2 linked regions of the Oreochromis niloticus genome follow. The protein of the gene in region 1 purifies or fractionates together with the protein of each later gene. This does not show direct contact. Links are inferred from orthologs where the notes say so. Each region holds a gene or a part of one and is shown on either strand. Other genes may lie near its edges. The genes, in order: clcn5b and tmem9.

Region 1 (15,444 bases):
GGATCGCGCGGGGGATTTATTGTTGTTTGGATTTTCACCCCTGTAAATAAACGCACTGCCTTCAGCATCAAGTCCTGCATTTTGGGTCCTCATTCCTCACATCCCCACGGTCTGCCACACAGACCGTGACACAGAGTTGTTCTGGAAGAGATGGCTTTCTGAGTACCTACCTCTGATGCAAGAAAGACAAAAATGGACGAGGACTAAAAGATGTCTTATACCTGGAGATGTTGTTTTGATTGCAGACGCTACAGCTCCAAGAGGATCATGGATGATGGCGAAAGTCTTAAGTGTAAACCAGGATGCAAAAGGCTTGGTGCATTCTGTGAGACTACAAACAAAGACCAGTGTTTTGGAAAGGCCAGTGACAAAACTTATTTTGCTACTGGAAGCCTCATCGTGAAGAAAATCATCAACGAAGATTAAGGACCTGCTTGAGGGAATAGCTCCTCCGTTTGGGACTTTAAAGTAATTTTGATTGTATGTACAATTAGGGGCCGGAGTGTTGGAGCTATTTGTTCTTTATTTGTATTATTTTGAAATTTGTTAAAGTTTGTTGTTAGTTTACTTATATTTTCGGGTTTATTTACAAGTTTATTTGTAGGTTAATATTTGTTTCAATGTTTTGTTTGTTTGGTGTTTACCTTGTTAAATCAGTCGGTAAGAGCTGTAGGGTCATTTTGTTTCTATAAATAAAGAGACTGGTAAAGGACCAGCATGCACTGGGGTGGGCCTATGTTTTGTTTTGTTTTTACCAGAGCAGGAGAAGCAGCAGGAAGTAACAAAAAAATGGATCTTGTTATTGCTTGTCAAACTGGATGAATAAACCATAAAAACGCAACTTTCAAGCTTGGACAGTGGACTGCTTTTGCCTGTGTACGAAATATTATCTCAGTGCAGCAGTGGCTTGTGGAGTTTTAATTGTGGGATGTTTGGTTTGTCAAACAAAAGGAATTGCCACTACACTCACTATGTGTTAATAGACCTCTGCATTGAATCATATCTGTTATTAATCTCTGTTCCTGCTTCAGAGTCACATGCAAAGTATCCTCTGATAGAGGGCAGGACCTCTAATTTAATGCACTTTTAGAAGCATGTGCAGATTTAATTTCGCACTGTAAACCAAACTTATAAAACCCACAATATATTAGGCAGTTAATAAAACAAACTATTTGCCATTTAATAAACAATTAATACTGTAATAAATATGGTTATTGTAAAGTCTTACTGACTTCAGCACAACCAGTGAAGATCTTTAGAATAGAATAGAATTCAACTTTATTGTCATTGCACATGTCACAAGTACAAGGCAACGAAATGCAGTTTGCATCCATCCAGAAAGTGCTTTAGCAATAATATAGATATATTACAGAATAGGGATCTATTATAGGTATATATACACCGTGTATATGCATACAATGTACACGGTATGACGGTATGTTATGTTTATTATATCTGATCAGTGCAGATGATAACTTCAATTTATGAGTAATTAAATATGTGAAAATAGGCAGTAATTTCTTCTTTCTTTAGGAATTGATCACATACTAACTAACTAAGAGGTGAAACATCATCAAGAAACTTAAAGAAGTGCAGTCACTTTCCTTCACGGCTCCTTAGATTACAATGACATGGATGACTGAGAACCCACACAGACACTTTTCTGGTTAAACCTTTAAAAAAAAAAAACTTTAACAGTAATACGGACCTCACAAATTATTTCATCTTCCCATTAATTGCTAAGAGCAACATAGGAAGCATAAAATAATTTGTAATTATAAACCATTTGTAAGCATGTAAGAAATTTGTTGACATACTGTAGGGATGGTTTTGTTAAATACTCTTTATTTTAGCATCTCGGGTTGTCACAATATTAAATTTTTAAACTCTATACTCTATACAGCTTGTAAAATAGACTAATGCTATTACTTTGCTAGTAGGCTTTTGTCAACTTGATTATGGGACTTTAGGAGAAATATGACACTTGTTAGGTTACAAATAATTGTGCTATCCTGTTAAATTAATGCTGATTTTTCTTGCAATTGGCAGATGTTTGGTTACAGCAAGGACTCAAAAGCAGGCACACATGAACAGTTGACCGGTTTTTAATGTAAACTGTAGGCGCAACAAATAAAGGTATTGATACTGCAAACTGTACTTAGTCACAAAGTCCACACTAAATCTCTATAAAGCCTTTGGTTCACTAGTTCAGATTGCAGTAAGCTCCTAGACAGGCTTCTTTTCCTCACAACTCTCAGGTTTGATTCTTTTGCAACCCAAGGTCTTTACTCATAGTTTGGTCTGCTACCTTTTCCTTTTCCTGCAGTTTTTTTCCCACTGTTGTACTGACCAGCTGACTCTGCTAACAGAATTTCTACTCATAGTAAGTTTTAAAGCAGCAGGCTGGTTCTCAAACTTGGAGCGTCAGCACAGCAAGGGGGCTCTATCTCTGATTAACAGGCAAGGTAAATAGCTGGAAAGGAACACGGAAGCCTGAGTAACTCTACTGACTAAATAGCTTAACAGTGTAGACTGGAGGGAGGTAAGCATAGTTAGTGGAGGTAAGACAACAGGTAGACATGAAAATCCCTAACCTGACTGACATCCAAGACCAGAGGGCATGGGACCCAAGAGGGTCATCTATCGTCTATAGATCATAATCTTGCTGTGGAATTTTGTTTGTTATCAAAGAAAAACATCAGTGAATGCAACCGATGAAGTTTACTGTCAATCACATGTCTCACTGATATCTGGAAAGGCTGGTTTTGCAGAGTAAGCAGTGCTGGAAGGTCAGAAAAGCTTTTTTTTTTCTCTGTAGCCTTACACATGATGTATATAACATCTCATTTATTAGATTTTGTTATAACAAGTGACCAGTCTGTTTGCCCTTTTGAATGTGATGACGAGGTCATTTGTACTACTCTGTGTGTGTGTGTGTGTGTGTGTGTGTGTGTGTGTGTGTGTGTGTGTGTTTATACGTCAGGGTATTGGGTCAAAATTACCCAGTTTTACCCAGTTGGATTGTTCATTTTTTTTCTTTATTTGAATATTTTGTTCTGGTTTCTGTTTAATTTTGTATATTTGTTTGCTTTAGAGTGTAATTCCTCCCTCAGTCGTCCTTCCTCTTATGTCAAGTCTTGTTGTATTAAGTGTATTCATGTGTCTGTGGGTTTTACCCATTTACTTTTTGTACTTCCTGGTTCATTTTGGGAGTTATTCATTCATTGTGCTTTGCTTGAGTTGAGGTTTCTCTGTATTATTGTAGTAAGAATAGAATAGAATAGAATAGAATAGAATAGAATAGAATAGAATTGGATTGAATTAAATTAAATTCTCCTGTATTTATTTTATTCTTGTGTCTGTGTTTTCCCCATTTAGTTTTTGCACTTCCTGCTTTATTTTGTAAGCTAGTCGTTCCCTGTGTTTTGCCTTTACTTTTGCTTCGGCTCAGCTGTGCATCGTTGTTCCCAGCAGTCTCCACTTCCCCTCATTGCTTTTCTGTCTGTATATAGTCATCGTCTATCCTTGTCCCGTGTCAGTGTTTTTTCCACTTCTCCTTATCATCCTTGCCTCAGTATTCTTAGCACTAGTGTGTGTTCCTAGTGATCCCAGTAAATGTCTTATGGATTTATTAGTGGTGGCCAGAAAGCTGTTTTTGGCCATTGAATCTCATACTGAAAAAGGTTTCATTATTTAAAATTTATCAACTTATCTTTGGTGGCATCTGGTGGCCAAAAATATGAAGAGCAGCTTGAATCTACATGAACTACAACATTCATCTCTGCTCTTTGGAAAGTTCAGTGGTAGCCAAATGGAGAAAATTGGATTATTGAGGTCAGCTACACAATAGGCAGGAACTACTTTTCTTCCACATTTCATAATAATATGTGAAATATAGCTGTATAAATGCATTACATCTCACCATGAGTTTAGCTTGGAGTAATATGTATGTCCCCTGAGGTCACCTCTCATCAGTTCTGTTGGCCTAGATTTCGTCAGGTGAGGTTGTAGACTAGAGCATTTAAAGTTGATGGTAAAGGTTAGGTATTATTAAAATATACAGCATACATGCAGTAAAACAGCAACTGTAGGGTTTAAAAAATAAACATATGTAAAATATATAATGGTTGAGAAATATTCTCTCCCCAAACATGACTTTTTCCGTTATATCTTGCACAGTACTAACTTCAGTGAGAGCCATGAAGTCTCTCCTGTTGAGAAATTATTATTTTTAACAGATAAAGAGGTACCTGTGAAGATATTTTATAAGGCTTTATATTACGTACCTTCAGTGATGTCACAGAGGCTTTAAGGGCACATGGGAAAAGGAGTTAGGTATAATAACTGATGATGAAGAGTGGAAAGATGTCTGGAGTTATGCCAAATCAATCTCAGTCTGTAATCATACCAAAGCACTACAGTTAAAAATCATACACAGACTGCATATATCCATATTTCGCAGACATCAATATAATCCTACCCTTTCACCCATGTGCCTCAAATGCAAAACAGAAATTGGTACCCTAACTCACAGCTTCTGGTCATGTTTGAAATTGCAACAGTATTGGTCTAATGTGTTATCTGAAATGGAGAAGATTTTGGGTTGTGAACTGGAGATGAACCCTGTGTCTCTCATACTGGGCCTCCCCAGCCGGCGGTTAATATCCAAGAATAATAGCAGGTTGTATTCTCAACTAAGAGGCGAGGAAGAATATTTTACTCCAATGGATTAATGAAACAGCGCCAACTATTAAAGGCTGGCAAAGAGTAGTGTTGGATCTAGTGCCATTGGAATATCTTACATGTGTACTGCACTTTAAAACAGACCAATTCCTCAAGGTATGCGAACCATACTTGAATTATGTGGAACCTGACATCTCTAATATTATGCTACAAGGATTCTCTTGAGTGTTCAAACTGCGTCATACTACTGGGACCACAGGTATTGTACTGTATTGTATTTTTTATTTATTCATTTATTTATTAGATGGATCTGAGCTGGTGTTTTGTTTTGTGCTTAGTTCTCAGTCTGTTTGTTTGTTTTTGCTTTGTTTTGGGGTTGTTTATTTTTTGCTTTGTTTATTTTTTTTGTTTTTTTATTGCTGTGAACTGTACACTTTATTATGTTATGCAATTATGCATTATTTGTGAAAATGAAAAAAACTAATAAAATATTGTAAAAAAATAAAAATAAAACTATGACTCAAAAGTATTTCATACATAAGGGCAGATGTTATTATCTATTTTTAAAATGGTTCTCGGCTGGATTATTATTTATTGTCTGAGGTTGTTTTGTTTTTTTTTAATTTCATGTAGGGTAATTCATCCTAATTGAATAATAAGAACAGTCTGAACAGTAGTCTGATGTCTTATCATTATGAAGGTCTAATTTGAAATACACTACTTCTGATTTTGATTTTCCCAACACTTTAAGGCTTTGTACAAAGTACCGGAATGGACTCAGTATCGTCAATAACAGCTTGAAATTACTTGGTATCAGATCGGAACGGGTCAGTAGTGTCGACATCACTAATACAAGTCTTGCAGTATAGTGTATGTGCCTTCCCACCTGGTGGTCCTGCAGTAACTTTAGATGTGGTCTAGTGTAATGTGGTGAAAAAGACTATTACAAAGGCTCCAGTAGTTTCTTCAGCAGACCACAAGGTGGGGCTCTCTGTCTATTTTAAAAATTTACATAGGAATGTTGACTTTAATATTCTGGGGTCAAATATAATAAAACTGGGGGGCGGGAATGAATTAATGCACTTTATCAGCACACATCAAAGGTTCTGACTGAAAGAGAGGATGATGGCATTTATGAGGAGGTCAAACTCATCACTTTCCTGTGTGGAGAGAAAAGAAATATACCTGTCGGGGGAAACAAGAGCAAAAGCTGTATGTCTTATGGCTTCAGCTGGACCGGGATGCCAGAGGTTTTGAGTCTGAGTTTTATTTATTTATTTATTTAACTATTAACTGTTGTTTATTTAGTACCAGGTGAGTTAAAGAGGAACTTTACTGTACAAATCCCAAAGTTGATTCTGTTCATCTGGACGTAGCATTTTCAGTATGAGAAACATTTCATTACTGATCCAAGTGACTTCTTCAGTCTCAGCTGACTGCAGGTTTCCCCAACCTTACAAACAGTACATTTGCATAATGACTGAAACCAGCCCACTGAAGGAACAATGAGCTGTGAGGTTAGTTTTCTGATCATTAATATGCAAATTCTATGTGAAAGATGTAAGATGGTGAAAGATGTACCCTTAGGCCCCCTCCTCGATTCAGAGATGGTCTTTCCCTTTTCACGTAAATGGCCTCCTTGGGTCCCTGCTCAAACCAGTGTTTCTCCCTGTCCAGGATGTGTACATCCTCATTATTAAAAAAGTGTCCACTGGCATGTAGGTGTAAATAGACTGCAGAGTCTGCAGAGACAGCAATAGCGCATGCAATACTGCGTGAACGTGTCTCATAGGTTGATAATAAATTATATGCTTGCTGAAGCCATATTTTAAATAAGTGTCAAACACAAAAGTAACTTCATATTTTCATTTCATTTCTCTTCTTTTTTTTCTGCAGTAAGAGGAAAAAAATTGGTTTTATAAACGTAATGAGACCTGCAGAGGAGATGGTGGCACTAACAAAAAATAGGAAGTCGAGGTGGAAGTGGCAGAGCTGACGTTGTTGATATATTTTATGAGGAGTGTGCTTTGGGCACAAAAGTGTGGAAACCACCTTTTTTTCTCTTCTCTTTGCGCTCACCCTCCAACCAGTTACGGCAGTTAGCTGCCTCTTCCTCAGCCGTGTCTCCCAATGATTTCTTCCAGTTAAAAAGAAGCTATTTCTTCCCAACTGCCTTTGACTTAGGCCCATTCAGATAAAAAGCTCATTTGGATGAAATGGTAGCTTTTGTGTATCAGTTACTGTTACACCTCCTCACTACAGTAGATTGTGTATTGACTCAGTGATCTAATGAGTTGATAAAACAATGTGGCTCCTTGAACACTTGACACTCTTTTCTTCCTTGCACTTTTTAAAAAGAACATTCACATTTCTCCATGTGCATTTGTACATTTCTTTTCGCTATTATCTCACATAAAAAAGAGAAACACACAAAAAAGACCTCTGGAATTGTGTCTATTAGAAGTTTTTCCCCAAGACAATTTACCAGAATAAGAATATTTTTTTAAATCCCAGAGGAAATTATGTGATCACAGTTGCTTAAAAGCAGTAAGAACAGTAATGAACAAGTTAAAGTACATTATTAAATAATATAATACATTGGAAAGTAGTCAAAGTAATAAACATAGATTTATTATATAAATATCCTTATATATTACACCGCAAACTGTTTATGTTTCAACATGTGATGCTCAGTGCAGGGAATAATTTTGCTGACTGTCGGGTGATTTTTAATATAAAACTCACGTTTTGAATATTACAGTTATTATTGTTATCATTATTTTGATGACTGAGTTGTCGAACTGGTCCACTAACCCAATTGGACAAACGACAGTTCTTCACTCGACTGCTTTTCCTCGCGCCGACGGCGCTGGTGTTAAAGCGGCTGAGCCCTTACACCGGAAACTGCCTCCTTTGGGTTTCAAAATAAAAACCATGGGCTTTGACGTCGCGTAAAAATAAAAGCTTTAACGCCATATAAAAACAATAAAAAACGTAAAATGTATGCATTTAATATTTTAGGATTATCTTAAAAATGTGTCGCATTTTAAAAGCGTCAATTGATTTATACGACAGGTTTTTTTTTTTTTTTTATTAAAAGACTTAAAGGTAGACGTAGCCAATTTTCGCTTACTTGACGATAGCTTACCGTTTGCGCTTTAAGTAGCAAAATGACAAATGGAAATAGTTGTTGTCGCTACATTTCACCAGTATGGGTGTCCAAGAAGGGTAACACTTTGCTGAGACCTTAGGTGTACACATTGGGTCACAAAACCTCGGTGTTGGGGTGTCGGTGGATGACGCAGGGTTTTCTCAGTTAAGTTTACACAGGATACATAAGCAGCTCCCGCAGAAGAAGAGGACGGCGGGGCAAATAATCCAAGTCACAAGACTTCTTCTTCTGTGAGCCGCACGGCTGCTTTCTCCCCTCCCAGGTAAAGTAGGGCTTTACTCGTCTTTTTCTTTCATTATTGATGAAGCAAGGGGCAAAGCACATTTCAGTTAATAGCGGCAGCACTGGTGAAAGTTAGCTGTACGGTTACACCGTGTCGGGTTGTTTGACAGCTCAGTCCTCGTCGCGAGGAAAGAGGCTAATCCGTTGTTCCTGGGAGCGCGCTGTTTTCCGCTGCTCTGGTGGCTTTTAGCCCCGAAGCCGCAGGCATGTAGCAGAAAGAGCAGCGCAAAAAAAGAGGAAAAAAAAGCGGAAATGGTTGCGAAAACTTCACCGTAACCACAGATGTGCTGTCATTGACTCTGCAGCCGCTGCTTGGTATGAAGCGGGTGAGAAGAGCAGCTGTTGTCGGTGCCCGTTTCTTAACAGTAAAACAGTTAGCAGGGGGGCTTTTTCGCGTCTTACCTTTGCGCTACTATGTCTAACTTTTGGACGAGTTTACGTGGGAAACATGCAGCCGACAGAGAGAGAGGTAACTAAAGCCGTGAAGCAGATATATCCACTGTGGGGCTCGTAGAAGTTAACCCTTCCTCGCTAACTTCTTTCCCCTCCCTTTTCCCTTTTAAAAGGCTCCGAAGGGATGGAAAACCCCGGGTACTGCTCCGGGAGCTTTGACGGCCTTCATCATCCGAGCGATGACGATGATGACGAGATGGTGGACATCGCAGGAGCCACACTGGACTTCTCGAGCACGGACGACGTCCCTCCGCTCAGCTCAGGTGGGCCTGCTGCTGATCGTCTTTAAAACGCCTGGTTTCAGTGCTGAGCTTTTTAAATGTCACCAACCATCTTATGCAGATAAAACTAAACTCTTATCAGGGAGTTGTGAGGCAGCACAACGCATAAGTCAGCCAATTATGGTATTAAAAGTCCCCCTCAAAATAAATAAATAAGAGTTTGTTTAAATTCAGGAATCACTTTCAGCCTGTTTCCTGAACAGCTTCTTTCTTCTGACAAATAGATCGATACAGAGATCGATATAGTATTGTATTGCGATATTGTGCATGGTGATGTTATATCGATATTTTATTAAATACATTCAAGTACTCTGTGAATATTATAGGACAAGAGGGCTCATTTTGCCTGATAGGAGGCAACATTTTCTGCGAGCAGTTGCAGTCTGACTTGGACTGACTGCAGTCACTTGCAGAGAGATTGTTGGAGGTTTGCAAAGAATTGCTGTGTAAAGTCCAAATGCAACAGAGTCTCTGTCAATGAGTGTAACTCGAGGGGGCTCCACTCACCTCGTTTTGTTCTGGTTATATTCCTAAAGAACAGGAAAGGTTGCTGAGTGCATTTCTGTCTGTGTAGACTGCAACAGATATGCAATTTTGGAGGATTTATCACAGTTGATTGTTGCATTATCAGAAACAGAATGCATGCAATTGCCAACTTGAACCCATTTAATCACAGACTGATAGCAGACTGACTCCGTCTTACTTTAATGACAGGGTTAGTCAACAATGTCATTGTGCAGCAAAGACATAACTGAAGTAACAACAAGGCAAAAAAGTCACATGAAGTATTACTGTGATACTCAGCGTGTCGCAAGATGTTAAACGCTGCAGTAATATTGCATCGTGAGTGAAGTATTGTGTATTGTGGGGTAGCTCGGTGATTTCCACCTCTACTGTCAATGTAACGTGTATACAATAATTATGAAGTATAGGGCATTCAGTTAAACACAGCAGTATAAATGGGTTGTGCTGTTTTACAGCTAAGGTGACTCTGGGATTGAGAGCAGGCTTTTGGGCTTTGAGAGTCAGTAACAGCACAGTGATTGCAGGCTGCACCTTGTGGTTGATACAAAGAATGATGGTCAGGTCGGGATTGAACTTTCCATGTGTGGCTGATCCCCTGTGCATCAGCCGTCACATCATGGTTGGCTGGTCTTTGGAGCAAGCCCAGAGCATGGCTGAAGTTCACCAGCTTGCGTAAGAAGTTGCAGATTTGGCCTTCAGAGGAAATTCTGAAGTACTGATAGCTCAGAGAGATTTCATCTAGCTTTAAAATAAGTCAATTTTTAATTTTCTTTTTGTTTGTGCTACACATGCTCCCGTGACTTGTTTTACTAATTAATATTAGACTACACGGCTAGTTTAAAAGTCAGAAAACAACCAAAATGTAAGTCTGATGGACAAGGTTAAAAACTGTTGTGTTTTTGTCCCCTGCTGCAGATAAAAGTAATTGAGCTGAAGCTAGCAAGTGTTTATCACATATCACACATAGTTTACATTGAATGGATTAATATGCGGTCCTTTGCCTGTCTTTTCTTATACAGCTAATAACCGGAATAGGAATATTTGCTGAAAAAGAAGTCTTAGTCAGAATTAGAAGAAGGTCACAAGTTTTGTAATCACACTATTTCAACGAGTTGTATTAATCATAACCGTCATGGTCCGAACTAACAGCAAAATATAGACTTCTGTCAGATAATGTAAGACTGACTCTTTGGTTTCACTGTATGTGGACAGTTTGTGCATAGGTGTGTAATTACTTGTAATTTCAAGCCCATTTCAAAGCAGAAAAAATCCTGAAACAGTCATTTGCTTATATATTATAAACAGTAATTTGCTTTTTGGTTGCACAATGATATCATTACATTTCCTGTGTCTATCCAGCGCTCTCTCTCTAGTACGTGAGTAATTGGGCTGTCACTCAGTAGCAGCCTGGCTGTTTGAATGTAGTAGGATTACATGACACTCCCTTTTGCAACTTGACAGGTTTGAGGTAGGGGTGAGCAGCAACTGATTTTATTTTTTACCCTCCAAAAAAGCTGCACTGCAGATGCTAGTGTGGCTGAGCTGCTGTCTGGGAGTGTTTGCATGCTCTGTGATTAGTGTGTGTTTGTGCTCTCAAACAGTGATAAGGTATCAGTAATGGCTGTGTGTGTGTGTGTGTGTGTGTGTGTGTGTGTGTGTGTGTGTGTGTGTCACATGCTTTGTGAGTCACCTGAATGAACAGTGAGTTCACGCTTACCTGGTAATGTACAGATTTACTGTTTATATATATATATGGCTTACCCTCTGGCTGTAAAAACAGCCAATTAACTGAGATAAGAGCTTTACAGTGTTTGAGAATATAGTGGAAGATTTGATAAGTTGGTTTTACTTTAAGAAAATATGCAGAAATCATGTCTGGGTTTTTTTGTTTTGTTTTTTTTTTAAGATTTTTTTTTTTTATTTTGTTTTTTTAAAATTTTTTTTATTTGTAAGAATTGCTGCCAATTTCAGAGGGTGAGTTGGAGGGTGAAGCAGGTCAGATTAAAAGAGCTGTACTTCACTCAGTTCACTTCAATTGCATTTTATTTATATAGCATGGAATTAAAACAGCAAGTAAGGTAAAGACCACACAATAATACAGAAAAAGCCCTAACCACTTATAACCCCCCCTATGAGCAAGCACTTTGCAACAGTGGGGAGGAAAAACTCCCTTTTAACAGGAAGAAACCTCCAGCAGAACCAGGCTGAGGGAGGGGCGGCCATCAGCCATGACAGGTTGCAGGTGAGGAGAGGAGGATTTAATTTGGAGACAGGACACTCTGACCGCACTATTTATTTATTTCAGTAATCTTTATTTTAATTTATGTTTGAATAAAAAGACCTGAACATGAACGCTGACCTACGATATTGGCGCCCCAACCAGGTTGATAGCTAAACCTTTGGCCATTCTCAGTTATACAATAATTGAAAAACACATCAAATATTCACATGAATCAAAGTCTAACTGAAATAATGGTCATATGAAGTTGAACAATAATAGTCCCATTAGTCTTTGTGCTACTTAGAAAAAAAAGTGACATACAAAATATTAGACTTAGAACTTTTTATTGTCATTGTACAGTGGCCTGCACAATGAAATTATGTAGCAAGAATAGCAATATAAGAACACTATGTACACTATATACATGAAAGTAAAATGTTTGGGTTACAGGAAGCATTGTGGGGGTGTGTACAAGGGCATGGTAGTAAAATATAGTAAATATGGGTGGAAGTGCTGTGGAAATTGCACAGGAGAAAAAAATGGCAGTAACATAATAAATAGCAAAATAGCAGCAACAGAATGCTAGTATGATTGTATGGGATATAAAATGAAACAACTACGCAAAAGCAGACAAACATCAGTGCATGGAAGTAAACTTTAAAAGAGAGTGTACGACCTCAGTGGAAATGCGCAAATTAAATGGACTAAAGATGGTGTTTGCATTTGCTGCAAAGTTCATAAAGTTCCTTTAATCAGAAACAAGGCTGCCTGGTTACTAATGATGTCATGCTTTCAGCATGCAGTGGACATTTCTCTTTTTACCCTTGCTTTGTCATCATCAGACCTTGTCAGCCCACTCCCAGCATGCTTCTATTTGGCCAATTAGAGCTGAGATCCAACAGAGGAATTGAGTGAATGGAGTCATTTATTAGACAACTCTGTTTGTGGGTTTTTTTTGTTTTGTTTTGTTTTTGTTTTTTTTCATTGCTTTTTGTTAGTTTTCTTTTTTAGCCTGGAGCCACTTACAAGGGTATAACAGAGTTGCTGTTATTAATTAACAATCCTGTGAAACTCCTGCTAGTGTATTACAGTAAATTTGTCATATGGAGAAGTTTGAATCTTCCTCATTTGTGTTCTTCCTGAGACTTACTGACATGTTACTTTTCCTCATCTAAAGAGAAGAGCAATGTATCTTAACCACAGACACTCTTTCAGTAGTTTTCATGCTGCCATCCTGAGAGTCCGAGAAGCTGAAGCAGCTTCAAGTGTTTACCCTTACCACTTCCTTTTCCTCATCACTGACTCTCCCTGCAGATTAAGCAGCAAACATTTTTCCAGCTCGCTTCTGCACAGCAGAGTCGGATATAGCTCAGATCTTTCTGTTGTCAACTTGACATACCCTAAAATAAAATCCCAGACAAATTGGCAAACTGTGCCTGTTGCCAGGGCAAATAAAAGCGAAGGCAGTGTCAGCAGTGTGCGTTATCAATCTTCCTGGTTACTACTGATGTCACAGTGACATCACCAGTTTATTGCCGGAGTTAAAGCAGAACTATAAAACCATCACTCACTCTTAAGGGTAACCCAGTGGTTACCCTTAAGAGTGAGTGATCCAACTCTAAACTTAAAATGTCCCACTGTCAGACCCTGATAAATGGGAACTTACAATTCAGCTCAAACTTCTTTCTTTTCGTTCCTTTCAGTGGTGAAACTAGGCAGTAGGAAGTGTTTGTGGCATTTGTAACTGGTCTTTAGCGAGCACTTGAACCTGTTGCCAAGCAGGTTTCCCTGAAAGCCCTTAGTGCTGCAGGCATTATCGTTTACGTCCTTGTGTAACCTGTTTCCCAGGGACTCATTAGCCTGCGGTGTTTGAAGAGGAAAGTTTGGGTTAGGGAGGCACTGCTAGTCCAAATACTGACATCAAAGTGTTCTGATCCTTCTGTCATTCACTTCTGTGCAGTGAAGGTTGTCCTTTAGGTCCTATATATCAGCGGGTTTTTGATGTGTCCTTGATCCAGCTGATTCAAATGGCTAAATTACCTCCTTAACATGTCTTGAAGTTCTCCAGAGGCCTGGTAATGAACTAATCAATTGATTCAGTTGTGTTGACTCAGGGTGAGATCTAAAACCTGGCGGACGCCAGCCCTTGAGGCCTGGTGTTCCCCACCCCTGCTGTATATGTTTCTTCTTAGTCCTTGTGGCAGTGTACACTGTTCATTAAAAGAAACAACACTTTTCCCTTGAAATCCTTTAATCCTCAGTGGTAGTGAACATGTTGCTGCTTCTCCCAGCTCTCTGGCTTCGCTCCATGTCTGTTATCTGCTACCGAGTACAGTAAGAAGTGAATTTGTCAAATTACATGATTAGCTTAGACTGTGCAGGCACACATAGGAAAATAATTTAAATGTATAAGAGAAAAAACATTCAGTGGAGATCTAAATTAATACATTTTAGAGAAGTCTGTAATAAAAAAAGTATTTCTTCTATGGTGAGATTTCTCTGAAGGAGAAAACATTTTTACTCAGTGAACATCCTTTAAGAGCTTTTTTTTGTTGTTGCTGATATTACAAAAAAATGTCTCTTGAACATCCAACTGACAGACCTGTTGTGTCTGGAATTTGAAATGTAACCAAGAAAATATCAAGTTTTGTAGACTGTCATTAAGAACTTGAGCTAGGTCCAACCTTGAACTACGCCTCATTTTCTGCTTCTTCTCAAATAATTATGTGCACCTTAGATAATGAATCTTTGTGTACAAACATTAATCATGAACAAGGCCTAGAGTCACTGGAACATTTTCTTCACACTAGGTCTACAAAATCATCATCTAATAGGATGAATTTTTATTTTGAAAGGCATCAGTTACTACTTTGGCTTTAAACTGGATGAAAGAGGTAAACCTAAGGATGTAGTCAAAGCGGTATGCCACTTGTGCAGACGTATAGTGCGAGGACAGTACTCAAACATAACTAATTTGCATGGGCATTTACATGTCCACCATCCGGATGAGTATGCGGCTATCACCAGGTTCTGCAGCTCCATCAACAAACATTAGGGCGCACTCTGAGGAGGGTGCATTTGCTTGCAGATGAAAGAGGGTGCTGTTAAAGCAGCGCCAATATTTTTATTTATTTATTTTTTTCTGTTGACTGCTTCTATTAGCTCCATCATTATTAGCAAACTTACTCATGGGCAAATAAATAAATAAATTGCCCTTGTAAAAACTATAGTCGATATATTCGTCCAATCGCCCAACCCTATTAGCTGCCGACTGTTGACCCTTATCCTTTGCTGCATTAGCAAAACTGGAACAAAAGGAGAGATGATTGAAGAACTGCAGCCTTGAAATGATGCGTCTAGTTGCTTCAGCGCCTGTTATTATGTAGACATGTAGTTAAGTTGAAGTTTGAAAAGACTCAGTCAAGAAACTGGAAGACATCTTTGGAGGATTTCCAAAGAGATGATCGAAAAGTGAAAAAGTTTATAAAAGTGTTTCAAAGGACTCTTTGCAGTCCTGTGAGAAAACTTATTACTGGTGTAGTTAGTTTTTACCTTTAGCAGCAATAAGTCGAAGTAATCCATTTCTGTGTGACTATTAGCCCTTTGTTCTTTACAGTGTTTCTTCAGTTCATTGGGGTTTGGTACTGTTCTTTTTCTCTAATAAATCAGTTTTGTGTTCCTTTGCTTTATCACTTGTGCCGTTGTTGTTGTTATCCAAAGTGCTTTCATTGCAGCTCAGTTTGACTGCCAGTCCTGCTGTTTCAGGCACTGAACTGTCTTATCACACCATAACTGTGAAAACGGGTTGTAATGATTGACAGGGACTG
Region 2 (15,525 bases), on another chromosome or scaffold:
TGGGAACTGATGAGAGCAGCTGCTGGATTTTGACAGGGTAACGTTGCCCCATTTCTGCCTGATTAGGATTCTAGCTGCTCGACAGTTCTTGGTCTTCTTTGTCGTATCATTCTTAAAATGGTACGTTTTCTCAGTTGAAACATTTGATATGTTTTCTATGCGTTTGTGAGATTTGTGAATCCTTGCATTCTGTTTTTATTTATATTTTTCAGAGCTTCTCCACATTTTCAGATCTGCGTTTGTAACTTAATTGCACACATTTTAGGTTGAGACTCCAGGTGTCCGTTTGGCTTTTAATAGCTAGATCGAGCTCCAAACCTAGATCACGCAGATCGAACATTGGATTTGTACATTATGAAGAAACACATTACATTACTTTCCTATTTTTGAAATATTTAATTGATTTCTGTCATTTCCTACACTGATCCTACGCCATCCTACATGGGTTTTATTTTTGTATGTAGTAAGGCACTGAAAAGTTACACTAAAACACCGTTCATGTATTTACGTCACTTTAGATTATAGCTGCAGACCTTGCTGTCAAAGGCTTCACGATATCATAAAATGTTTCTTCTACAACAGTGAGTTGTGTGGGTCACTGAGAGAAGCATTTATGTAAATACATGTTGTTGTTAATGTCATAATAAACCTCAAACTCCAATATGCATCCACTGTACTGGTGTGAAAGCAGAAATCTAAAAAATCAGTCTATACTAATAAAATTTGGGGCAAATTAAAGAGAACTATGTGCAGACACTTAACATAAATAGCTTTAAATGTGAATTACTCAGCTCACGTCTCATTTTTCCTTACTGTCACCTTCCTCTATCTTACCTTATTCCTTTACTCCCCTTGCTCTGCTCCTGCCGCCGTCTCTGAACCAGTCATCCAGAGCTTGCTCCATGTGTGTTGAAGATTAGTGGTAGAGTGTGGGGCTCTATTGATTTCTGAAGCTGTGAGATGACAAGTTTGATCTTATATCACAGGGTTTACGTCTGATTTGTTCCGGGCAGAAAGCACCAAACAAATATAGTTAAGTGTTACTCAACCATACCGCCTGTAGAGATTAGAAAATTATTTTGCTGTTACTATTCATGTTGCATTAGTTATCATTTCATCGACACATTTTTTGAAGCTGTTGAGGTTAAAGTCTGTATTTCAAGTCTGTATTTCAGGTGGTAGCTTAATCACATGATAATCTTTCATTGCAGGTGCAACTGTATTCATGTTATACACATTGCATTTTTGTGCTAATTAAAGAGTTGAAGCTCGGTCAATTAATTGATGGTCGGAAGCTTCAGCGGCGCGAGGTCCGACTGATCTATTGAGTAAAGTGACCTTGAGTTATGAAAGAATTGCATACATGCTTACAATACATCACGCACAACTTAGAAACTGAATAGAGGCCTGTGTGTTCAGCAACCGACTGCATTGGAGTTCTGCCTGGTAACAGATGACTCAGAGTAAGGTCATGCACCGAGGTTAAGACACATGGGCTGTCTGAACACACATACACAGTGTCTAGACTTGTTTTGCTTGAAATTGCGAAGTTTCAAGCAAAGAAACTGCATACGTGACAGTTCAGTTCCCCAAATAAGTGTAATAGGTAAAATAACAGGAAACATGTAGTGGAGGAACAGAGGAAGGAACTGTTCTTTTTTTAGAAGATGTTCAAGGTTGGAATGACTGGAACATGTATGTTTTTTATCTGCTGTGACGCATATTACTTGTCATCATATGTTATATATATCACACCCCATTTATTGTTGTGAGAAGACCGATGCTTTTTGGGTGATCGTGCTCGGCTTCCCACATGTATGTGTTGTAATAAAATCATTGTTTTGACACACTGGGACTTTGCAGTCGTCTGTCTCTTCCTCAAATACGAACCATGACACGCCTGTAAAGACATTTTTACTTTATATCGTTTATGTCTGGAGAATAGTTTTGTTTGTGTATGTGAACGTGTCAGTGGCAGTCCGTCGTGGCGCACCACTGAGCTGCCAGGTCAGATTGCAACAAATGCCGAAACAAAGGAAGATGACTCACAGTGACATTTGGCGAAGGAGGCCCCTGTGGATGAAATCCATCGTGCCTCCAGATGTGGCCTGCAGCTGGGGCAGGTAGATCACAGACTGACATGAGGAGATGGAGTAAGGGTGTGGCAATGTCTGTATCACCTCATTAGGGAAAACTTATCACACAGAAACCTCTGTCCCTACCTTTTGGAAGGAGTGGAGTCTCCTTCCAAAGGATTAGAGCTGACAAAATTTTCTGATCATGGAATCGCTTTGTCGGGGAAAAAAAGGCTCTTGGTGACTTTTGGCTGTTTACCTTCCTCCTTCTGTTTTGAGAGCGCTGACTCTGAAAGAAGATCCACATCGATATCTATATCGGTGCTTTTTGCTGACTGACATGTGTGTGTTGTGTTTTGCTCGCTGACTTGATCGGCCAGGTGCCTAACATTTTTTATCTGTAAGGATTCTATGCATCGCTGGCTCTATAAATCAGTCTGGGGGGCCTTGTCACTTAAAGTAGACATTAATAGCTGACAGTTTATTGACCGGCCTGCCTGTATTTGTTAAACCAGCAGGCTGTTTTTTCCAACCTAAATTGCATCCTTATATACCAACAACAAACTTCCTTCCTCCCCTGCAGCTATTTATCTACCTTTCAATCCATGTCACCTTTCATTTCTTGCTATTGTTTTCAGCTGTCTTCTTGCCTGACCCCTGGTCTCCCTTGAAAGATGCGTGTGGATTTCTGGCAGCTTGCTGTTTTATTTATCTTTTTTGACCAATTCTGCAATTGGCCTATGAAGCTCTCTTTGAAGTTTCCCTGCGTCTCTCTAACATCTTGTGCAACATCAAAGACAACACATTACACGGGGGCAGAGTTCACCCGAGAGCCACTGCAATTCAAGCATCATCGCCATGTTTCTCTTTTCTCCTCCTGCAGGGGTGCAACACTGCTAAAGGAGAGGAATAGCGAGTGGTGGGCGGGTGAGTGCGGGGACGGCTTCCCTTCCTCCGTTTGTGTCCATCATGTGTCATGGCCGCTCTTGGCTTTCATGTTCTGTCTGGCTGAGTTTCCTGCTCCAGCAGTCTCTGTTTCCTTGCTGAAAATCGGTGTCCCTCAGAGGCAGGAGACACTCCCTCCTCTGCATCCATTTCAGCTCAGCTCAGCGTAGCCGGGCTCGGCTCTCACCTTGCTGACACCAGCTCCTCAGCAGACACCTTTCCCCCTGCATGGGCTCAGCTGGCTGACAGGCAGCTGTCCGTACAGATAAAGCAGAGCAGGACACACACTGTACTCTGAGTCACCATCACTGCTTACTGCTCTAACACCTTTGCTATTGCCACCTCTTTTGGTTACAACATTTCTCGAGCAAGCATCTCACACTACCTCCATCACTGAAACTGATAACAGGTGATCTTTATCTTCTATCTCTGTTTGAAGATCACACAGAGCTTTTTTTATTTTAAAAAAACATCTTGTAATTTATTAATTCTTTGATATTTTTTCCTGTAACTTCAACAGGATCAAACTAAACACAAAAAATGACAAGTTTATTCCACATGTGGTTAATATTTAGACCTAATGCAGGGGGCTTTGAGTGAAACACCTAAGAAGTAGTCGTTGTTTGATTACCATGGGAAAGAAAAATTCAATTCCAGGGGCCCAAAACAAGCCAGTGGCTGATGAAGACAAATGTGCAAACACATGTTGGCAGAATTGCTTTTTGGTTGACTGTGATCGGCTACGCTCAGGAGGGCGGAACCAGGAGTTGTGATTTATAGTTTTGCGCTGTCCCTGGATCACCACTGTCTGCTACCTCCCACTACTGTAATTACCACGTGTGTCCATTAGAATAGTCCTACTGCCCACAATGCACCACCTCAGCGGAGAGGAGAGGAGAGATATCGCTTCAGAGATAGTCTTGTTATTCAAACAGTGTTCTCTCCAAAAGCATGATACAGAGGAGGGCAAAAAGACACTGCAGATGATGTGATAAAGGTCAAAAAGAAACATACTGAAAGGTTGAGGGGTGTATTGAAAATGCTAGATTAAGGACAAAAACCTGTAGCATCCTATAGGTGAGTCATATAAGGTAGGTATTTATCTACAGTGCTGCTGTAGCTGTTTAGCTAATAATTAATTGGTTTTATGTGGCTCTATCTTTGAATTTCACAATATATTTTCTCTTGTTTTATTTTATATGCCCTAGATCATATCTACATCTCTCCAGATCTTTACAAAGTCTGCTTTGACTAGCGTCTGCTGGTCGAGATTGAGTTTGCTTTGCCTTGGGCCTTATAGCATCTCCTAGTGGGCAAAGTGCCTGATGCTTTCAGGTCCCTGGAAAATGAATGTTTTGAGTAATGTGATTCAGTCGATACTTTCAGGTACCTTGACAAGTAAGAGAACTTGACACCCTCTGATGTTGTTTATGAGTTGAATTTCTCCGCAGTGTTTCCATTATGGATCATTTCCCTTTGCTGTTTTATAGTCAGGCTGCGTTCGCAGTTCACTGGCTAAAGACTTTGTCAAAATATTTGTATCTGTCCGCATCAATTACAGCGCTTTTTTTTTTTAGTTGAGTGGTAATAAACCACTTTACATAAACAACTAGATTCATTTTTCTTTCCTAAATGAATATTTTTTTACCAAGTCTACCCAAAGAAGAACTCAATCCCCTTTCTTTTCTTAAGAAGTCTGAACTGATAATGAGACCTGGCACTAGGCTCTGGTCAGTGTCATTTATGCTGTAATTGGCCTGGGGATTAAAGGGCAGCCATGCATCAGAGAAGATGAGAACTAAGTGGCTTACAATGACAGAAGTGAGAGAATGAAATATATTATAGAGAGCTCGCACAAATCACCATCTAAAGCGTTTATGAGTCGAATTATGACGGAGATCATTACACGAATGAAGGAGTACATGCATGAGTTCATGAAGTAATCAATTGAGGAATCAATTAAAAACCAAAACACACTTAAAACATTCAGAACTAACTTGCCAAGTATATCAACAGCAAAAGGTCATTGACAACGTAAAAGACATCACCAGCATAATATTGTCTGGGTGAAAGGTTTTCTCCACATAATCTGACCAGTTCTTGTCTTTTCATAAAACTAAACCTGCTAACTGTGAATAAAAATAAAACAGCAAAAAAAAAAATTTTTTTTAAAGATAAATGCCCGTGAAGTATCACCTGTTAACTCCCACCCAAAAAAAACAGCATCATGGTTGACATATTTCAGTAAAAGAGTAGAAATCTTTTTTAATGTATTGTTTTCTAAAGGAAGAAATGGTGCCCGGTCATAGATTTTAAAATAAGTAATTTGTACAGCATGAAAAATGAGTAAAAATATGGATTTCCGGGATTTCTTCCGTGATCTGTGTATGTGTTTCACATGATTAAGTCTCCCATCACTCACATTTTTTAGGCGTACAAATAGCTCAACAACAACAACCTTGTAGGCAGACATAAACTGACTGAGTTCACATCCTTTGTGAAGCTGAAATCCCAGCACTCCAAATCTCCATACTATATATAGAATAAACAAGTTCTTGGCAGCATTGCAGCTGATTTAAGTGGTTGAATCACAGGTCACATGAACGACAGTGTTTACACACAGACGGTGCTCTGTTGTTCACGCTGATATCGTAGCTTATTAGAGAAACAACCACGGTCTCGATTGATCTATATGACCGAAAGCTCAAGAGGTTCAGGCAGAATTTGTGAGTCATTGATTTCTGTGGCTTATTAAAGGTATGAGTAGCTTACTATACAGAGAGATGTGAAAGCAGGATTACCAGGAAATAGGGGTATTGATTGGGTCAAGAAGCTAAGACTCATATTTCAAATTCCAAAAGGGAAACTGGATTTGACACAAGAGCAGTGTTGACCAAAACAATATAAAATATCCTTGATTATTCTGGTCATTAAAAAAACATTAATGTTACAAATAAAGGCTGCTTCATGTATATTATACATATGATTGCTATTTGGAATTATGCATTATTGATATATCTAATTTTTAGACACATTAATATTTAAGCATCATTTTAATGTTGTAGGTGGTCAAAATGTAAACATTTCATAGTTGAATTGCTTATTCTATAATCTGCAGTTCTGTAAATCTGAGCTCTGTATATGTACAGCTTCAGCTATGACACACTTTAATCACATCACTAATGTCTGATAAGACAACAGTAAAGATGGATAAGAGGCTTTGGAGTCCACAGTGCTTGTTTGCTTATAATGCTGATAAAAAAATTTAAAAAAAAATGCTGTTTAAACTGTTGAAAGCAAACCTTTGGTCCAGGCGTTGTAGTTTCACAATTCCACTCACTACTGTAAATGTCAAATATGGAAAGCAATTAGCACTGAGGACTAAAATGTGCAATAATTCACAGAAAAGTAATGGCTTGATTAAATTAATGAAAGACTGCAAGTACACTGACCGGATCCCAACAAACTGAATGTGGGGAAAATGTTGTCTATGGGATGTAAGAACAATGCTGGGATCAAAACCTCAAAAATACAGTCAATTGTGCAAGTTACTGGATTGTTATTTCATCTCTCTTGCTAGGTAAATATGATATAGAGGGAGGACTAAGTTTGTTGTTATGGTCTAATGCAATAGTCTTTATATACTCCCATATTCTCTTTCATTTCACTTTTACTTAAGCTGCTTTTCTATCTGGTAAAGTTTTGGGGGTTTCGGTGTGCATAGTTTGGCATGCATTTTTAGCCATATCTGACAATTTTAGCTATTTTCATTCATGGCACACATATACTGTGTCACTTAACACAATACTTTCCTCCACTCGGAGGGGAGCTGGAGCCTTTCCCATCTGTCATAGGGCAAGTGGCAGAGTACACCTTGTACACCTTAGTTGCCAGTGTGCAGCACATAGAGACAGAAAACCATTAATACCTGCAGGCAGGTTAGAATTACCAGTGAACCTAACTCCATGCATGTCTTCGGACTGTGGGTGGAAGCTTAAGTACCCGGACAGATCAGCACGCAAAGGCCACTCAAAAAGGCTCCAGACTGGATTCAAACCCAGGACCTTCTTGCTGTGTGGGGGCAGAGCTAACCAAACTAAAACAAAACAAAACAAACAAACAAAAAAGAACAAACAAAAAAAACCCACACAAAACCCCTCTGTTTCTCCAAAATATGCTGCATCTCCTTTTTCTTTCTGGTAGCTTCCACCATATTTAATAAAATCTGCAAAGCTTGTGACTTCTTTGGTAACTTTCTTTGATGTGTATGACATCAGACAGGCTGACCTTTTTCCTTTTTCTGACTATAATAAAAAAGTCTTCCCGTCATATGCAACTGGTAAAAGCCAGACTTTAGAAAAGCGCATGTCCTGCAGAACCAGTCAAAATGTGAGACACTGTCTAAAGATATGTGTGTTTGTATGTGGGCGGGGGTGGATAAAAATGTTGTGCAGTCCCACATAAAGAGGGACAGTAAGTGATTATAATGTAACCTGCTTGATAAATATGAATTCTTGATTATTATTTTTACTTCTTATTTTGTCCAGCAGGTGGCGCTGTCTCTGCATGTTTGGTGTCGGATTGTTTTCTTCATGTGTGACGACAGTCCGGAATAAGGAAGGACAAAATTCATTTGTCGATCTTTGCTCTAAACAAAGTGAGAGCACACTTTCAACCTGAATGCAAAGCAGAAACAGACGTTTTCCTCACTCTCACAGCGTAAGTTACCGCGTTGCTAGCTTTGTTTTTACGACATTTCGTGTCGTGGATTTCCTGCCTTGCAGTGCTAGCTAACTGCTATATTTTGACAGAGCCTTGCTGGTGATCCTTCAGTCGTCGTGCCAGGTGTTTTGCCTTTGGGGAAATGTCGTGTGGTTGGGGAAGATCCTGGATGTTTGCTGCAGCCGCAGTGGTGACCGTGTTTCTGCTGGATGTTGTCGTTTTTGCTCGAGCTAAGGTAAAAGACCTGCTGGTACACAGAGGATCTGTGTTTGTGGATTAAATCTCATCAAGTATTGCTTTGTTTATGGGAAGATGTTCAGTAAACTGTGCTCAGTTTTATTCAGTGAAATATAAAGATTGTATAGTTAAATAACGAAATGTAAAATAATAGTTCAAGGGCGATATTGCCAGCACAATTATGCAATTACATCTACTTAAAGAATACCTGTTTATGTTAGTCTTACATTAGTTTATCTAAATAATGATTATGTAAATACCCCTGAACTACTGTCAGGACACTCGTGGATTTCTTAGCCAAATTGGGGATTGTAGTCTTAAAGAACTAGAAGTAGGAATACACTGCGAGGTTGCAGACTAAGACAAACTCCAGTTCTGCAGAAGAGACTCCTTCAAAGCAGACTGAAGTATGCCAAGGTCAACCTGGAGAATGAGTGTGCATAGAAAGTGAGTCCTTTAGTCAGATGAGACAAAAGGGAAAAGGTGTACAACTCACTGGGAATCTCATTAAGGTAGAAGGTATCATAAAAGATGGATATGTGAAGTGTTTGAAAGAAAACGTCAAGCAGTCAGCAGCAAAACTGGGTCTGGGTTTTGCTTTATTTTCCAACACGATAATGACCCAAAACATACATCACTCCTGTGAAGAACTGCCTCCAAAAGACCATCGAATTTGGAGGCGTTTGAGAAATTGTCGTGGGATCACTCAGGAGGTGTGAGTGAGACTGGTTGGAAATTGCAAATGTATAGTATCGTAGGCTAATAGTTTTGGCTCTGGTAGTTTTTGGCTAATGTGAAATAATTTTGTTTCTGTGCCCAAATTAAAATTATGTAAGCATCCAAAAAGAAAAGCTGTGTTTTAAAACTTCTTGCACTGTTAAATACTCCAAAAGATAAAACTTCCATAGAGGATCTCATAATTTAGTGCTCATCTGTGTGTTTGTGCCATTTGACTTAGAATAACTGGAGTATATGTCAGAGTGTTTGTTTGTTTAACTGCTTGTGTTAATAATAGAGAGACGTCTCAAGTAGTGCTGTAGGGGAAAGATGGGCTGAATTTGGGGCCACTTTCACAAAAGTTCCTTAATTCTTGCAGAGCTTTGAGGATGTCCGCTGCAAATGCATCTGCCCGCCCTACAGAAACATTACCGGTCACATCTATAACAGAAATTTCTCCCAGAAAGATTGGTAAGAAAAATATTTTATTTAGACTTTTATGGATTTTTAAAGAAAAGGCGTTACTCTTTCACTGCGCTGCTGTTTTTAGGGGTTTTCTTTCTCTTAGCTCAGTAGAAATGACAAACGTTTTAATGTTTTTCACAGCAACTGCCTGCATGTAGTGGAGCCCATGCCTGTTCCTGGCCATGATGTGGAAGCCTACTGTCTGCTTTGTGAGTGCAAGTATGAAGAACGAAGCAGCAACACAATTAAGGTACAACTGACTTTCCTTCGGATATGACGACATATCTTCCTCAGCTTTTATTCCCAAGCAAAGCGGGTCATTGTGATTGTTTGTCATATAAGATGAGTCGTTGAAAATATTGCAAAGCCTTTCTAGTTTATTGTTTTGTTTTGGGGTTTTTTAAAAGAAAAGAATTTATAGTTTGCAAAGGTTGTATGTTGGATTCAGTGAGTTACTCTTGCTAAATATGACAGGTGACCATCATCATTTACCTGTCGGTTGTGGGCGCCCTGCTGCTCTACATGCTCTTCCTGCTACTGGTTGATCCTCTTATCCGCAAGCATGACCCATACACCCAGCCGCTGCACAATGAGGAAGACTCTGAGGTAACCATTCAAAAAAACAGCATCCAAGCACACTCCAATGTATTTATTTGATTTCTGTGGAGTTTGAAGTTCTTGATTTCAAACCATCTCTGGTTTGTGTTCAGGAGATGCGTCCGCAGCCAGAGAGCAGCAGCCAGGCCAGAGGAAACACGGTGCTGGAGCGGGTTGAGGGAGCACAGCAGCGCTGGAAAAAGCAGGTCCAGGAGCAGCGCAAAACAGTCTTTGACCGCCACAAGTTGTTAAGTTAAACCTTAAGGCTGACCTCAACACCAAGTTTAGAGTACGTAACCTTCCTGGGCCGTCTGATATTACACCAGTGGCACTATCACAAAACCTCTTTGTCATTGCTGTGCACCGCATCTGCCGAATTAATATTTAAACATCACACATCTAACACGACAATGTTTAAACTTGGTTTATTTACTAGATGTAAAAACTTGAGATGGGCAAAGCTGCAGTTTAAAGAAAACTGATGCTTGAAGCACTCCTGATGACCTAATGTCAAATCTTTTCAGCAAATTGGACATCAGTGCAGCTTTGAATGTCTTAATAAAATAATAACTTTTCCCATTTTGCACTGGCTGTCAAAAGCATTTCAGCTTATTGTGTGTTAATATTTATAATTTTTTTCCTTCAAGCATAATTTATGATGTGATCTCAGATAGAATAAGCTAAGTTAATTAGGACTACTCTGTCTATACAGTCTCAATGCTGTTGCTATTGTTTTGGCACTAATTATTTATTGGTATTTAAATCTGGATGAATTTAATGTATGATTGTTGATTTTGGACTTTGTATATTCACATTTGAGCAGCGCCCCACTCTGTGCCTTTCCTGTCTCTCTCTTTGTGTGGGAGATCGTGTTTCTCCAAACTCTACAGCTTTCTAAAAATAACAGACGGGAAGGTCAACTAAGAAATTTCACCCATTGTTAACTAGTGCTTGCATTTGTACTCATTTTATTTTTAAATTTTCTGACTGAACCCAGCAGCACATCTGTGTGTTTTTGTTTTTTTCTGCAGCACAATGTGACGAAACACTCTTTTCATGCAAAGAGAGAAAAAGAAAAGGAGGCATTTAGCAGAGCTTTAAAAGGACTCTCAGAAAAATCACAGGAGAATGCCCTAAACCACTAAAGCTGATGATAATGTGGTTTAGTGTGGCAGAATCCAGATGCTTCGTGGCTTTGAAAGGGCCTTGTGTGCATCATTATCTGTCAGTGAATTCCTGCTCGCATCCTATTACTGAAGCTCCCAGTTGGGAAATTATTAGTACAGCAAAAACAGGCACACTGGCTTGCATTACTGTACCTCATACACCGTATGAACTACTGAAGTTTATTGGTTTCTAATTGATTTGTTTTTTTGTTTTGTTTTTTGATTAGTTGATTTGTAATTATAGTTTAATATCCCTGCTGTCAATGTTTTATATGCATCTCTGGCCTAAGTGTGCTATAGAACCATATGTTTAGCTTGACGTGAAATAATAAAAGGAAATTCCTCAAAAAAAAAGGTTTTGGAATTTTTTTTTCTCCTTCAATTACTTTTCTCCTTTCAGATTTGCTGTTCCTGTTAATGGCGCTAGAGGGCGACAAAGTACACAGTAAGTGCGCGTTCTTCTTGCACTGGTCTGTGGTGCTTGAAGATTGAAGTCTTACATGTTGAGTGGTGTTCAGCTGCTGGGAAAACAGTCACCTGTGGCATGTTTAAGATCATGTTGCCAGTTTGAGAAGGTGTTTTAAAATGTGTAACTACAAACGTCCTGGTTTGGGAATTACACGTTTTAAAACAGCGCCGCTTCTACCGACTGTTTTAAGGGCTGGTGATAGTCGGTTGGTTGACTTTCATTTAAATTGTTTGGTTATGAACAACATTAACACTAAATCATTTGGTCACAGTGAATGTTACAGAGTATTGAGTCCATCATTCAGTGTTGAATATTATTCTGATGAAGTTTTGCAGTTTTCTTTTTAGCTATATCACAAACAGCAAACCCTGATTTAGCATTTACACGCACCACACAATCAATGAACGGTCTGTAAGGCACCATAATGGGCTGTATGGAAACGTGAAGATTTTATTGTTTAATCTGAGGCGCTTACAGCGGTTAGGGTGTACTTACGGATACCTATTGTTCATTATTCCTTTAAATACCAGCCTTCAGTTATTATTTAGAAATGCATAGAGCTGCATTATAGTGTTTTTTTTTTTTTAATGATTACATGTCTCTGTACTTCTTATGAATCCTAAATAAGAGGTTGACAGTAAAGTAAACCACACATATACAGACACATACACAAACAAAATCACACAAAGAGACACAGTCCCCCCCCCTCACTCTACCCTTATAATCATCCCCAAGCATGGCCTGCTGGTGGTTCATAATCTAAATTTAAACTATACCAAGGCCAACTGCTCCTCCAGTCACTCTGGGCTCCTGCTATTTTTCCTGGACGTGGTGGGCTTATTTTGTCAGAGGCCCTCAGCCAGGCAGAGAGGCCTGTGGCTCTGCCCGGGTGAGACCGACAAAGGAGCGAGGAGGAGGAGAAGGAGAAGAAAGAGGGTGCCAGGGGAGCCTGAGGAGGATCTGCTTTCACAAAGGGGAGACACACTGGACCTGAGTTTGGGATTTTACAATAAACATTAACTTTCACAGGAATTTGGAGCTTGTCTAAGGTGAAGGCATCAAGATGGCGTCGAACACAGAAGCGGCCAAGCCGATCATCATGAATGAAGAGGAGCTGAAGAGGAAGCAGAGGGAGAAGCTTAAGAAACTACAGGCCACTGGAGGAAACCCTCGACCCGCGAGATCTCTCTTCCTGTTCAACCTCAAAAATCCCTTCCGCAAAGCCTGCATCAACATAGTGGAGTGGAAGTATCCTTTAGATCTTTCAGTCACACACACCTCAGACAACTGTGTGTATTTTAGAAGAAATTTCAGTTTAAATATTTCTTTGAAATTCAAGGATATCAAGGCATTATACATGGCATTATACAGTCAGCGCAGCATGGAGCCCCGGTTTAAAAATACTGACAGCAGGGCAGTGAATTAATAGCCTTGTTCACCTGTGGTCAGCATGCTCAAGCCAGGTCTCTTCCAAATGTGTGATGAGATGATCCCTGAAGTGTTAAGACTTTTGTAATGTTTCTGATCTGTATCAAAGTCAAGTTTGCAGCCTGTGGAGTTTCACCTGCTGTTAACCTGAGATCACCTGACAAAAGCATCAGGCAAAAAAACAATTAACAAGGTAGTCTTATTCAACTCGCTCCTTATTTTTTTTAAATGTCCAAATAGTGACTTCAGCGTCCAAGTAGGAGAAGATGAAAGAGCACAACGCGGGCTTTTGATAGCTCTTGTGGCCCCTGTAGGCAATTTTCTGCTTTTAGCCTCATGGTCATTCCTGGATCCAGACTGGAATGAGTTGATCATACCAATCCAGTGATAGGAACCTCTTGTTCACAGCGTTTAAATGCAGATACACAGACTTTGAGTTTAAGAGTGACCACATGTTAAAACGTGATGATGTGTAAAGATCTGTTCTATTTGACATTTCGTTCTGGTATGTTGGACCACGTCATAAGTCATTCCACCGCCACAGTTTAATCACATTGGTATGTGGTTTGGTAACACAGGGCTTAGGTGCTGTATAGAGAGCCAAATTATGGAAAATTACTAAAAAGTCTGAAGACCCAAAAAAAAAACTGTCCTCGTACACGGATCTCAAAATTTAAAGAGCCACTTTTTTCTTTATTTCTTTCCTGGTTAACAGTCTGTGTTCAAATGGTTTGGTCATATTCTTGGGCTCTGCAGCTGTCCCATGGCATCACACTGAGACATCATGCTGACCTGGCAGGGGAATTCTCACAGAGAGCCCCCTATGGGTGAGAATGAAGCAGCACAGCAGGCAAGATTACATTAAAGTGGAACACTTTGCTGGCTACCCAGGGGGGCTGCTTCAGGGATGATGTTTCAGGCAGCATTTAAAGGCACTAGTCAGTGCCTACAGAGCTGCTGCAGAGCTGGATTTGTTACACTGAAACACAAACGTAAAATAACTTAGTCAGATAAATAAACTGACCGTTTTATTCTTGTGAAAGATTAAGTCATCCTCCCACTCTCACCCATTAACATCGTAACATACTAAACATAAGACAATAGACCTTTGTGGATATTTTGGGGGGGCAAACTCTGATTTTTGTTGCTGTTTGTTGTTGTCGTTGTCACGATCCTGAGCATCCCCTTCCAGAACCTTTGAGATCATCATCTTATTGACCATTTTTGCAAACTGTGTAGCTTTGGCTGTGTTCCTGCCCATGCCTGAAGACGACACCAACAACACCAACTTAAATTTGGTAAATAAACATTGAGCCTTTTTTTTTTGTTGCATGTCACATGACTGTATGAGAGGCCACTGTGGTGAATGATGACTATATCGATATTTCATTTTCATAATATTCATGATACATAAAAGAATTGAAACACTAAATTAATCTCGTGTTTTGGGGCTCATGAAGGCTCAGTTTTACCATCACTAGTAGATGACTGTGCAGCTCTGATCAGCAAGTGAGTGTAGTAATATTAATTTACTACAGCTTTGAATCAGTGACAAGCTGTGGGATGCCAAACGCCATTTGAATGTGTCCAGAAACAACTCGGTTCTTTATTTGGAGCCCCATCTGTGTCTGCAGAGGAACGAGTCATCGAGTGTCTCGTTCTCAAGTAGTGTAAAAAAGCTGGTGGCAGGTGGACGATGCTGATGTATGTCCAGAAAGATATTATGTTTCAGCTTCATAGGTGTGTGTTTTAAAGCTGTGAAACTGTTGGTAGTGTATTACAGGTCACAGACTATAAAGATAAACAAGATGCACATGTGAGCAAAACATATATCTGATCATGCACCGTGCATATATTTGGCCAGTGCTTATTGGATGTGTCCTATTGACACCAATGTTATGATAAATAGATCACTTTCTCTTAGAGGTTTGGCATTTAGCACAAATGTCAGCCATCGGTTACTTTCCTACATTAAGTCAATAATACTCCACATATATCTTTGGGTTAAAGTTCATGTCAGTCTTTGTGATTTATAGCCATTTTACTTTTATTAGGAACCCAAATCTGAGCTGATCTCTTCATTGGCCCTCTTCCTAAATCCTCCTTAGTTCTCACGGTGCCATTCCTCAGGTGAAAATGCAAGAAGAGATGGACCAACCCCCTCTTTCACTGTTAGAAGTAGGTCAGCCTGAGTACCGTCACTCCACTGATGCAGGTGATACAGGAGAATCCGCCAATGTTGCCTCGTGTAACCACAGCCACGTATTCCAATAATATGATAGCTTGTAATGTTGATGCGCAGTAGCCTAGCAGGGCAGCTTTCCTTGGTGAATTCGTTTTACTCGGGGTAACACTGAGTAAAAGCCTATAAATGTGTGTACACGCGTTAATGGATGCAGGGTCAGTGATTAGGACCAGTGTTTGCTGGTTCAGCTAGAGATTATTGAGCTGATTTAGGGAAAGGGAAATAAACTGCATGTCAGTTACAGTACATACCTCAAATGAATTCTCTGTATATAGTAACCATTGTCCTTAATGTAAATATGTAAGAAAAATTGTGTATGTTTCTGTTCTGTGTCCTGTGTACTGTTTGTTTGTTTGTTTGTTTGTATATGTGTCTTTTTGGCTGCTGTTACAACCAAATTTCCCCTTGTGGGACAATTAAAGGATTATTCTATTCTATTCTATTCTATTCTATTCTATT

What was found.
Region 2: the proteins of clcn5b (region 1) and tmem9 purify together in Homo sapiens (co-immunoprecipitation; 3 studies listed by BioGRID and IntAct, with this or other methods). This does not show direct contact. The link is inferred for Oreochromis niloticus from reciprocal best matches to the Homo sapiens genes CLCN5 and TMEM9.

Annotation. Positions count from the first base shown.
Region 1 is NC_031967.2:31,601,698-31,617,141, reverse strand, and holds the start of clcn5b (H(+)/Cl(-) exchange transporter 5), read left to right. Parts: upstream 1-8,162; 5' UTR 8,163-8,551; coding exon 8,552-8,606; intron 8,607-8,703; coding exon 8,704-8,853; intron 8,854-15,444. UniProt on the Homo sapiens protein: Proton-coupled chloride transporter. Functions as antiport system and exchanges chloride ions against protons. Important for normal acidification of the endosome lumen. May play an important role in renal tubular function.
Region 2 is NC_031984.2:20,020,213-20,035,737, forward strand, and holds tmem9 (proton-transporting V-type ATPase complex assembly regulator TMEM9), read left to right. Parts: upstream 1-7,578; 5' UTR 7,579-7,739; intron 7,740-7,831; 5' UTR 7,832-7,884; coding exon 7,885-7,977; intron 7,978-9,075; coding exon 9,076-9,167; intron 9,168-9,302; coding exon 9,303-9,411; intron 9,412-9,635; coding exon 9,636-9,767; intron 9,768-9,871; coding exon 9,872-10,015; 3' UTR 10,016-11,278; downstream 11,279-15,525. Other genes in the region: cacna1sb (calcium channel, voltage-dependent, L type, alpha 1S subunit, b), read left to right, coding at 12,457-12,641, 14,014-14,119. UniProt on the Homo sapiens protein: Transmembrane protein that binds to and facilitates the assembly of lysosomal proton-transporting V-type ATPase (v-ATPase), resulting in enhanced lysosomal acidification and trafficking.